Saccharomyces cerevisiae S288C: one gene and its partners. The gene in region 2 interacts genetically with the main gene of each other region. Each region holds a gene or a part of one and is shown on either strand. Other genes may lie near its edges. The genes, in order: PEX34, CTP1 and ZWF1.

Evidence for each region.
Region 1: of CTP1 (region 2) and PEX34, changing one suppresses a phenotype caused by changing the other (phenotypic suppression), as found in Saccharomyces cerevisiae (one study listed by BioGRID).
Region 3: of CTP1 (region 2) and ZWF1, a mutation in one rescues a mutant of the other (synthetic rescue), as found in Saccharomyces cerevisiae (one study listed by BioGRID).

The regions. Positions count from the first base shown.
Region 1 is NC_001135.5:26,314-29,324, reverse strand, and holds PEX34 (Pex34p), read left to right. Parts: upstream 1-1,965; coding exon 1,966-2,400; downstream 2,401-3,011. Other genes in the region: KAR4 (Kar4p), read right to left, coding at 389-1,396; PRD1 (metalloendopeptidase), read right to left, coding at 2,419-3,011. UniProt on the Saccharomyces cerevisiae protein: In concert with the three peroxisome divisional factors, PEX11, PEX25 and PEX27, controls peroxisome morphology and abundance under conditions of peroxisome proliferation. Maintains mature peroxisomes in actively dividing cells.
Region 2 is NC_001134.8:783,133-786,407, forward strand, and holds CTP1 (Ctp1p), read right to left. Parts: upstream 1,441-3,275; coding exon 541-1,440; downstream 1-540. Other genes in the region: BSD2 (Bsd2p), read left to right, coding at 1-424; YBR292C (uncharacterized protein), read right to left, coding at 1,570-1,941. UniProt on the Saccharomyces cerevisiae protein: Transport of citrate across inner mitochondrial membrane.
Region 3 is NC_001146.8:195,905-199,980, reverse strand, and holds ZWF1 (glucose-6-phosphate dehydrogenase), read left to right. Parts: upstream 1-2,037; coding exon 2,038-3,555; downstream 3,556-4,076. Other genes in the region: iron-sulfur cluster assembly protein NAR1, read left to right, coding at 4-1,479; ATG2 (Atg2p), read right to left, coding at 3,879-4,076. UniProt on the Saccharomyces cerevisiae protein: Catalyzes the rate-limiting step of the oxidative pentose-phosphate pathway, which represents a route for the dissimilation of carbohydrates besides glycolysis.

The DNA of each region.
Region 1 (3,011 bases), on a different chromosome or scaffold from region 2:
CAAACAAACAAATAAACAAACAAATTCTCTGTTCCTATTTTCTTCCTCTTTGTTCTGCACTTCCAGCTTTTTATGCGAGAACATCGTGTAAACTTCCTATTTAAGTAATTACATGGCTGAAAAAGTGAACACGCTAGAACACGAAAAGACAAAAAAGAAAAATGGAAAAAACAGAGGAAAATCAAGTAGAATAATGTTTATTTACCTTTCACTCAACTGTATCTTTTTGTTTATTTACTTTTCGAGTTTGCATAATTGTACTGAATCAATCCTTGCGCAATTTGGTTTTGAGAAGAGTTTCCAGTAAAATAAAATGCAAAATTATTGTTTATATACTTATTTACTAGTATATTTAATTGAGCTAAGCAAGGATTTATGTGTTGATGCTTTATTGTGCTTTTTGTACTGGACTTCTTGGTCTTAACAGCTCAATCTCATTTTTTAATGGGATATTCGAACCTAAATTAGCTATCTCTTCTTTATATCTCTTGGGTGAGAAGTTATCCAACATAACATCTGGGCTCACTATAACCCAGCCAGGTCTTACTTTGACGGGTGTCTCGTAACCAGTCCTTGCAGGAATAATATGTAATCGTCTAGTCGCGGTAGAGAAGTTTTCTGCAATACGATACAAATGGGATGGTACAGCACCATTAGTGGTGTCCTTCGTTTCGATACTCAAGTCAGTGTCTACGTTACAATGAATAAGATGTCCATCTGTAGACCTCCTTACTGTACCTGTGATACACATCCAACAGTGCCATTGCATTTTTTCCATCAACGTTTCATCGTCCTGATCTAAACCTGGATAAAACGGTGATTTCTTGTCAATAGGAACAAAAACCAATTCTTCACTTCTTCTAAACTTTTTAGCCCATATTTCATTATTCAAAAGTTTAGTAAGTTCATTGATTTTTTGAGAATTGGCCCAGATGAACAGGAAACCTGGTTTGGAGATCAATCTATCCAATGGCAATTGGGTTAAAATTGGGTAAATAAACTGATTTTCTGTTAAGCAGCCAATCATCACCACGTCGAAAGTCAAATTTTCGTTCTGTATCCAGTGATTCAACGTTGGAACAATGGAATCTATTCCGATTTTACACCCAAATGGCGTAGTGGCAAATTGATTTATTTGTTTAGCTTTCGCCTGAAATAATTTCTGAAGTTTTGGATAGCCATCAACCCTATTCTCAATATTAGTAACATGCTGTTGCGGTAGCGACTTCCCATGAATGTAGTTATTCGAGTAATCGTTTGTATGGAAGTCTCTAGAGGGTTTGAATGATACGTGTTTAGATTTCATTTCTATTGTTTCCTGGTTTGGCCCTTGCAAGTGACTGTTGTTGATGTGTCTGCTTTTATTCTGGTCGTAAGTTGGATCTTGGAATGCCATCTTAATAGTATTCTCACTTCTCTTTTGTTTTATAATGGCTGTTCTACTTTCTTCTATGTCATAATATTTAACAAAAAGTCGCACTTGAAAAGTTGAAACAAGTTATGTCGCAAGATGAAACTCGGAAATGACGAAGTGTGAAACAAGACTACAGAGCGACAAAAACCAAGCTGCAAATATACAGTAATGAAACTGAAAATATGTCCAGCAAAACTAAAATTGTTTGAGCTCGATACTAACTTCCTTCTTTTTTTTTTTTTTTTTTTTTTTACTTTTGGCTATCCTATTGTAAACGCTGTTTTACCCTTTTGCAAAGCATTTGATCACAAGATATATCCCAAAAACTATTTTTTGACTTAAGGCATTAAGAGGAGATAAGGCTCCTAATGTCACATCCAAAAGCCAAAGTATGGGACAAGCATTTCGCCCCTTTGCTCTTATTGCTTCTTGTTAAGTAGAAAGGGTAATTATAATCGAAAAATTCGCGGGAAATGATTTCAATGTTCGACTCTGAGGTAAGAAGTAAAGAGGAGATGAATAAAAGTAAAGGAAGAAGAAAAGAAAGTTGAATGGTTTCGAAGAAAAATACGGCTGAAATCAGTGCAAAAGATATATGGGAGAATATATGGAGTGGTGTAAGTTCGCTGCTTGATTTCTTCGCAGTATTGGAAAACCTAGGCGTGGTCAACGATAAGTTATATGTAAGTGGGCTATTACGGAAAGTTTGGCTGTGTTACTCGTGCATTTCAGTGATAAAATGTGTATGGAAATTAATAAAATTATGCAAGGTGAAATTTAAAATCGATCAACGATTGGATGGGGAGGGAAATGGTCTAGTAAAGGATAAGTTGATAAACTTCAAGAAAAAATATAACGAACATATCAGACATATTACTGCTGCTTTACTCCAAGATTTGAGCTATTTAATGGTTTTAATCTATCCAGGGACGAGGTTATTTAAAAGATTATCTAACATAATAACACTTTGTAGAATAATTGTATAATTTTATGCTTGAACGAATTTAGTTCTGTAAGCCCAGCTCCTTCAAGAAAGCATCCTTAGAAGGTTCCCTACCCAAAAATTCTTTCAGATTATCATTAATATCATAAAGGCCACCACGAGCCAACACAATATCACGGTATTGTATCCCATTCTTGGCATTTAACGGATCCTTAGCGAATTTGGTGTGATACATATCAGTTGCAAAGACTTCCGCCCATAGATAACCGTAATAACCGGCAGAGTAAGAGTCTGACATTATATGGCCAAATGAATCATAACCCTTGGATAACGTACCACCATTAGAAATCAAAGAAATATCCTGTCTCAATTGGTTCCAGGTATCGCAAATTGACAGGTTTTGCAAGTCTTTACAAGTATGTACTTTCATATCAAATAACCCAAAATGTAATTGTCTTAGAGTGAATAAAGCACCATTTACGTGTTTAGTTTTGATCAATGAATTGATCAAAGATTCTGGAATTTTTTCGCCCGTTTTGTAATGTGATGAGAGGTTGATTAATTCATTCTTATTCCAAGTCCAAAATTCTAACATTTGGGAAGGTGCCTCCACAAAATCCCATGGAACAGATCCGGGGCCATTAAACCTCGATT
Region 2 (3,275 bases):
GAATATCATCGTAAGCACGAGTTTTCAGTTCATTGGATTTTTAATAACCTACATTTTACACACATCTCACGCAGCAAAGCAAGGTTCAAGGTTTGGATTAGGGTTAACGTTCATTGGATATGGTTATTCAATGATTCCCAATGATGTTACTTCAAAAGTCGGCAAAAATAAAAGCTTAAATAGAATGGAATTAGAGGATCCAAATGAATTCGATGATGTTCGTCTAAATTCACAATCAACGACACAAGATAAATTTGAATCACATTTGAATCACGGTCTGGATGAAGAAAAACAAAACATACCATGGTTGGCTGTTTTTGTGGCATTTCTTGGGCTATTTATCACCCTGAAGAGTATATACGACTACATTCAAGTCAAAAAATTGGAAAAGAAATACCTCAACCAAAGTCAAAATCAAGCATAAGCCATCTTCTTCATTATGATAAAAAGAGATATATAACTTTTTTAAGTGATCGGCTGGTAAATAGACTTATAACGAGTAGAAAACATTAGATGATATATTGTACACAATAATACATTTCAGGCTAGCATAACTAAGACCTTTTCATAGATAGTGAAAACAATACCACCACTCAAGACCAATCTCCCAAGTCTAGGCGTAGCACCTTTCCAAAACGTCTTTAACCCTTCTTCTTTGAAAATGGTTGCAAAACAATTCATTGTAGAGGAGTATTTGGTGGAATCCAAACTTTGCATTCTTGTTTTCACAGTATCAAGGGGCATGGTGGAATAGACCGTCACAATACCACTAAATGCACCCACTAAGAAGGTTAACCCGGATGATAAAGGTTTGTCTTTTGGCGAATCCGTATAATCTTGGATCAAGGTCTTAATCTTATTGTAACAACCCAATCTAACGGCTTGGTTTGCGGCCTGTCTCATGGAAACTGGCAAAACACCACGATAAAGACCAGAAAATCCTTTATCACGGACTAATGATGAATAGTTTCGTACTACACCGCGCCCATTATTATGGTATTTTGGTGTAGCAGATTGTTTATCATCGATCAAAGCAGTTTTGATTGCTTCAAAAGGAGTCACTGCGGCAACACTTTCTAATAGTCCCGCACCTAACCCAGCTATCACCCCTCTTGTACCACTTAGTTCTCCAGTTTCACTATCTCTTAGCATGTCTTTAATGGTATCAAAGCCAAGAAATCTAATACCCGCCTTAGCGGTGTTTCCAATAATAAATGCGGGACATCCGACATAAATGGAACCAATGCCCTGAGTTTTTGCAGTTTTATATATCAATACCAGAGGATTTCTTGATGCCTTGGAGGCCTTATCAATCAGCTGCAGCCTTGTTTTGGCAAACTCAAAAGGATATGTTATACATGCTTCAGCAGCACCGGCTAGGGACCCTGCCAGAAACGAGTGCAATGGATCTACGTCACTTTTGGTAGCTTTACTGGACATCGGTAAAATGCTAATTTATAATTCAAGCTCTACTTTGGAGTTCTTTCATTGTGACATCAAAATGTTTTTAATTTTACGTTGGCTTCGACATTTTACGTTTTATATATCACGCTAAAGTGAGACTAAATTTCATTGTTCTTCTTTTTTTTTTTTTTCACTTCTAATAATTGAAAATTCCGCAGGAATTCTTCCATATTCTTGACTCTTCAGTAAGACTAACTTAATGGAAATAGAGAAAATAGTACATATTTGAAAAAAAAAAAAGAGGTGTTGAAATGATTTGAGAATATTAAATAGCTTACAAGCGTTAGCCGAGTTCCCAGACAGCAGAGTTTCTACCCTGTGCTCTTTGTTGGCGGCTTTATTGATGAGGAATATAAAAATGTAATTAGGCAAACCTACGCGCGAAAATATAAGAAGCAAAGATATAAAGTGTAGTATATTTGAATATTTACATGAACGAAACGGCGACGTATAATGGTAATCGGCTGGGAACTTCATTAAAAAGTCAAGATGTAAGTTACCTCTTAGTAAGAAGAGTTATTGCAGCAAGCTTAGTATCAATAGGGAGACTCTGTCATGTAAAAAAATAAATGAACACAATCATAACCTCTTCGACTGGGCTATTCGTTGTATAGTATATGTGGTGGAGTGTAATGAATGAAGTTCTCAGAAGCTTGAAAGCATATCAAAATCACGTATTGACTATGACAGATTCTTGTTTCTTGCTCCATTACTCCATTCGAGTTTTTCACAACTTTTGTCGTTCGTCTATAACATCTCTTTTTTTTCCCACTCTTCTAAAATATTGGCATAGCTGACATGTTTGGAACCGAATAAGCAATTACAATACGACAGTAAAATAAAAGCATGTTATTGCTGCTTGTAGAGAATTCCTGCATATGTAACTTTCTCATTCCGACGGGATAAGTTCATAAACTAATCAGCGATGAGTTGCGGAAAATTCGTCAATAGAATATTTTCCAGTCAGTGGTGGTCCCAGTGGCCTGCAACCTAATGGCTATAGTTCTGGATAATAAATTGGGCAAAGGTCAGTATAAAGAATGAATGTATCAGGCCGTAATTGAAGCTTTCAAGTCCAGGTGAAAGGCCAAATCGACAATTAGCGAAAACAGGATTTTTTTACCAACTTGAAATAGTGACTGCTGTCTTTTTGCCTGATTAAGTGGTTATATATTTCAACTAATATCACAACAAAAGGCCTCTCAAAATTTGTGGCGAAGTGTACATCCTGGGTGCTCAGGTAAGCGTCGTCTTCGTATTTTTTTTTTTTCAACAGTAGTTTGGAAATAATGCTCTTCGAGGAATGCGAGCGGAAATGTTATCCACTGTATAAGTCGATATTTTAAGGGACGCTAAATATATCATCATAGCTCGTCTATTGGTGGCTTCTCCAATTGCACTTTCAATGCATTATGGTAAAGTGTGGTGATAAGGCATAGTGATGTTTACAGAGGTCTGTTGGTTTCTCTGGGCTCGCTCATCATCCGACCAGTAACCTTGTGGGGTTTCACATATTGTTCTATGCATTATTATCACGGATTTGTGCCTGCAAATGCTGTTTCTTTGGCTTTTCTTTCTAAAAAAATTATGATATATATATTGTTCCTCCTTGTTTAACAGGCTTTACGGTATTGTGGATCCTAGTAATAGGCGTACTTTTCTTCATTTACATATTTGAACAATATATGTCTCACAAGTAGTTGACCGAATAGCGTTACGTAAGGGTCAAAAACCTTTTCAGAATTGTATATATGACATTTTTAGAACATGATATAATAAACAGAATATAAAAGAAAATAGAGACGACGTAC
Region 3 (4,076 bases), on a different chromosome or scaffold from region 2:
AGCATGAGTGCTCTACTGTCCGAGTCTGACCTAAACGATTTTATCAGTCCCGCCCTTGCGTGCGTCAAACCTACCCAGGTGAGCGGGGGCAAGAAGGATAACGTTAACATGAACGGAGAATACGAGGTGAGCACGGAACCAGACCAACTGGAGAAGGTCTCTATTACCCTATCAGACTGCCTCGCGTGTTCTGGTTGTATAACGTCTAGTGAAGAAATCTTGTTGAGTAGCCAAAGTCACTCGGTTTTCCTGAAAAACTGGGGGAAGCTTTCGCAGCAGCAAGACAAATTCCTCGTTGTGAGTGTCTCGCCACAATGCAGACTATCTCTTGCGCAGTACTACGGCTTAACATTGGAGGCGGCCGATTTGTGTTTGATGAATTTTTTCCAAAAGCATTTCCAGTGCAAGTATATGGTTGGAACGGAGATGGGCAGAATCATATCGATTAGCAAAACCGTAGAGAAGATCATTGCGCATAAGAAACAAAAAGAAAATACCGGTGCGGACCGCAAGCCTCTATTATCTGCTGTGTGTCCGGGATTTCTTATATACACGGAAAAGACCAAACCGCAGTTGGTGCCTATGCTGCTCAATGTCAAGTCGCCTCAGCAAATTACGGGCTCGTTGATCAGAGCTACGTTCGAGAGTCTCGCTATCGCGCGTGAGTCCTTTTACCATCTGTCGCTGATGCCATGTTTTGACAAGAAACTAGAAGCGTCAAGGCCAGAATCGCTTGACGATGGGATTGACTGTGTCATTACGCCACGTGAAATAGTGACAATGTTACAAGAGTTGAATTTAGACTTCAAGTCGTTTCTTACTGAGGACACAAGTTTATATGGGCGGCTATCACCGCCGGGATGGGACCCGCGAGTCCACTGGGCGTCGAATCTGGGAGGCACTTGTGGTGGCTATGCCTACCAGTACGTAACGGCTGTCCAACGACTACACCCAGGAAGTCAGATGATAGTTCTGGAGGGTAGAAACAGCGACATTGTCGAGTACCGATTGCTGCACGATGATCGCATAATAGCCGCCGCCAGCGAGCTTTCCGGGTTTAGAAACATCCAAAATCTGGTGCGTAAACTGACCTCGGGCTCCGGGTCAGAGCGCAAGAGGAACATCACCGCTCTGCGGAAGAGACGAACAGGTCCAAAGGCGAACTCACGCGAGATGGCGGCCGCCACGGCCGCCACGGCCGATCCCTACCACTCGGACTACATCGAGGTAAACGCGTGTCCGGGTGCATGCATGAACGGTGGTGGCCTACTCAATGGCGAGCAAAACAGTCTCAAGCGGAAGCAGTTGGTTCAGACACTGAATAAGCGTCACGGAGAGGAGCTAGCAATGGTAGATCCTCTAACCCTGGGACCCAAGCTAGAAGAGGCGGCAGCCCGCCCGCTTTCGCTAGAGTACGTCTTCGCGCCCGTCAAGCAGGCCGTCGAAAAGGATCTCGTCTCTGTTGGGAGCACCTGGTAAGTAAGGTGTAGTTTTGCACCCGTGTACATAAGCGTGAAATCACCACAAACTGTGTGTATCAAGTACATAGTGACATTTAAATAATAGCAAGAACAACAATAATAGTAGCGCTACTGGAAGCACCACGTAATAGTGGAAAAGAACTGGAAAAACCGCTATAAGATGCATACTCCGGCGGTCTTACGCGGAGATACAAGCTTCCAACGGTGCTAAAAGCCCGGTTTCGGCTCGGCCGGAGGAGGAAGAGAGACGAAAAAAAAAAAAATGACTAAAAAAAAAATGGAATATTATTAATGTGGGATTTTTGGCTCAAGGTGTGGTGGCCCCTTTTCTAAGGGTGGCGAATTCTTCAATGTACGGAAAACTCGCCAAGGCTATCCCATATATAAGCAAACTGTGGGTTCATCTATATACCGACACATAACACCTAAAGTGGCTTCCTCCTGCCCCTCTCTCCCTTTTCTCCACTCACCCCTCCTTCTCCCCCTTCCCCCTCTCCAATTGGCTGTATAGACAGAAAGAGTAAATCCAATAGAATAGAAAACCACATAAGGCAAGATGAGTGAAGGCCCCGTCAAATTCGAAAAAAATACCGTCATATCTGTCTTTGGTGCGTCAGGTGATCTGGCAAAGAAGAAGACTTTTCCCGCCTTATTTGGGCTTTTCAGAGAAGGTTACCTTGATCCATCTACCAAGATCTTCGGTTATGCCCGGTCCAAATTGTCCATGGAGGAGGACCTGAAGTCCCGTGTCCTACCCCACTTGAAAAAACCTCACGGTGAAGCCGATGACTCTAAGGTCGAACAGTTCTTCAAGATGGTCAGCTACATTTCGGGAAATTACGACACAGATGAAGGCTTCGACGAATTAAGAACGCAGATCGAGAAATTCGAGAAAAGTGCCAACGTCGATGTCCCACACCGTCTCTTCTATCTGGCCTTGCCGCCAAGCGTTTTTTTGACGGTGGCCAAGCAGATCAAGAGTCGTGTGTACGCAGAGAATGGCATCACCCGTGTAATCGTAGAGAAACCTTTCGGCCACGACCTGGCCTCTGCCAGGGAGCTGCAAAAAAACCTGGGGCCCCTCTTTAAAGAAGAAGAGTTGTACAGAATTGACCATTACTTGGGTAAAGAGTTGGTCAAGAATCTTTTAGTCTTGAGGTTCGGTAACCAGTTTTTGAATGCCTCGTGGAATAGAGACAACATTCAAAGCGTTCAGATTTCGTTTAAAGAGAGGTTCGGCACCGAAGGCCGTGGCGGCTATTTCGACTCTATAGGCATAATCAGAGACGTGATGCAGAACCATCTGTTACAAATCATGACTCTCTTGACTATGGAAAGACCGGTGTCTTTTGACCCGGAATCTATTCGTGACGAAAAGGTTAAGGTTCTAAAGGCCGTGGCCCCCATCGACACGGACGACGTCCTCTTGGGCCAGTACGGTAAATCTGAGGACGGGTCTAAGCCCGCCTACGTGGATGATGACACTGTAGACAAGGACTCTAAATGTGTCACTTTTGCAGCAATGACTTTCAACATCGAAAACGAGCGTTGGGAGGGCGTCCCCATCATGATGCGTGCCGGTAAGGCTTTGAATGAGTCCAAGGTGGAGATCAGACTGCAGTACAAAGCGGTCGCATCGGGTGTCTTCAAAGACATTCCAAATAACGAACTGGTCATCAGAGTGCAGCCCGATGCCGCTGTGTACCTAAAGTTTAATGCTAAGACCCCTGGTCTGTCAAATGCTACCCAAGTCACAGATCTGAATCTAACTTACGCAAGCAGGTACCAAGACTTTTGGATTCCAGAGGCTTACGAGGTGTTGATAAGAGACGCCCTACTGGGTGACCATTCCAACTTTGTCAGAGATGACGAATTGGATATCAGTTGGGGCATATTCACCCCATTACTGAAGCACATAGAGCGTCCGGACGGTCCAACACCGGAAATTTACCCCTACGGATCAAGAGGTCCAAAGGGATTGAAGGAATATATGCAAAAACACAAGTATGTTATGCCCGAAAAGCACCCTTACGCTTGGCCCGTGACTAAGCCAGAAGATACGAAGGATAATTAGAAAAATGCAAGCACATTCATTTATCGGCTAAGTCACTGAAATTTTTTTTTTCGAGTGATTTTATCTTGCAAGCTCACTCTCTTTGTTCTTTTCTCCTCTATAATGGCATCTTCCCCCCACCAACTCCTCTCTACTTGCGTGTGTATTTGTTTGTATACATGTGTAAATATATATACATAAAAGAATGTCGTCTCATGTATTTTTTAACTTTTAGCCGCGGTCAGTGACATTTTGGCTTTCCCACCATTCCACGTCTGAAAAAAAAAAAAAAAAAAGAGATAAAATATGAATTGAATATATATCAAAAATGTCTGCAAAAATTTTTACGAATCAGTCCGATTGGACTTGTACTTATCATTGATTTGCTCGTTATGCGTCTTATCCACTTGATTAGCTATTCCCTGTAAAGTCTTAGACACTGCCTCAGTGGCCCCAATTAACGGCCGAATAATTGCCACAGGTGCAGCTCTAGCAACATAAACTGCTGCGGCGCTCGGCCCTCCCCGTTTATCATCCTTCAT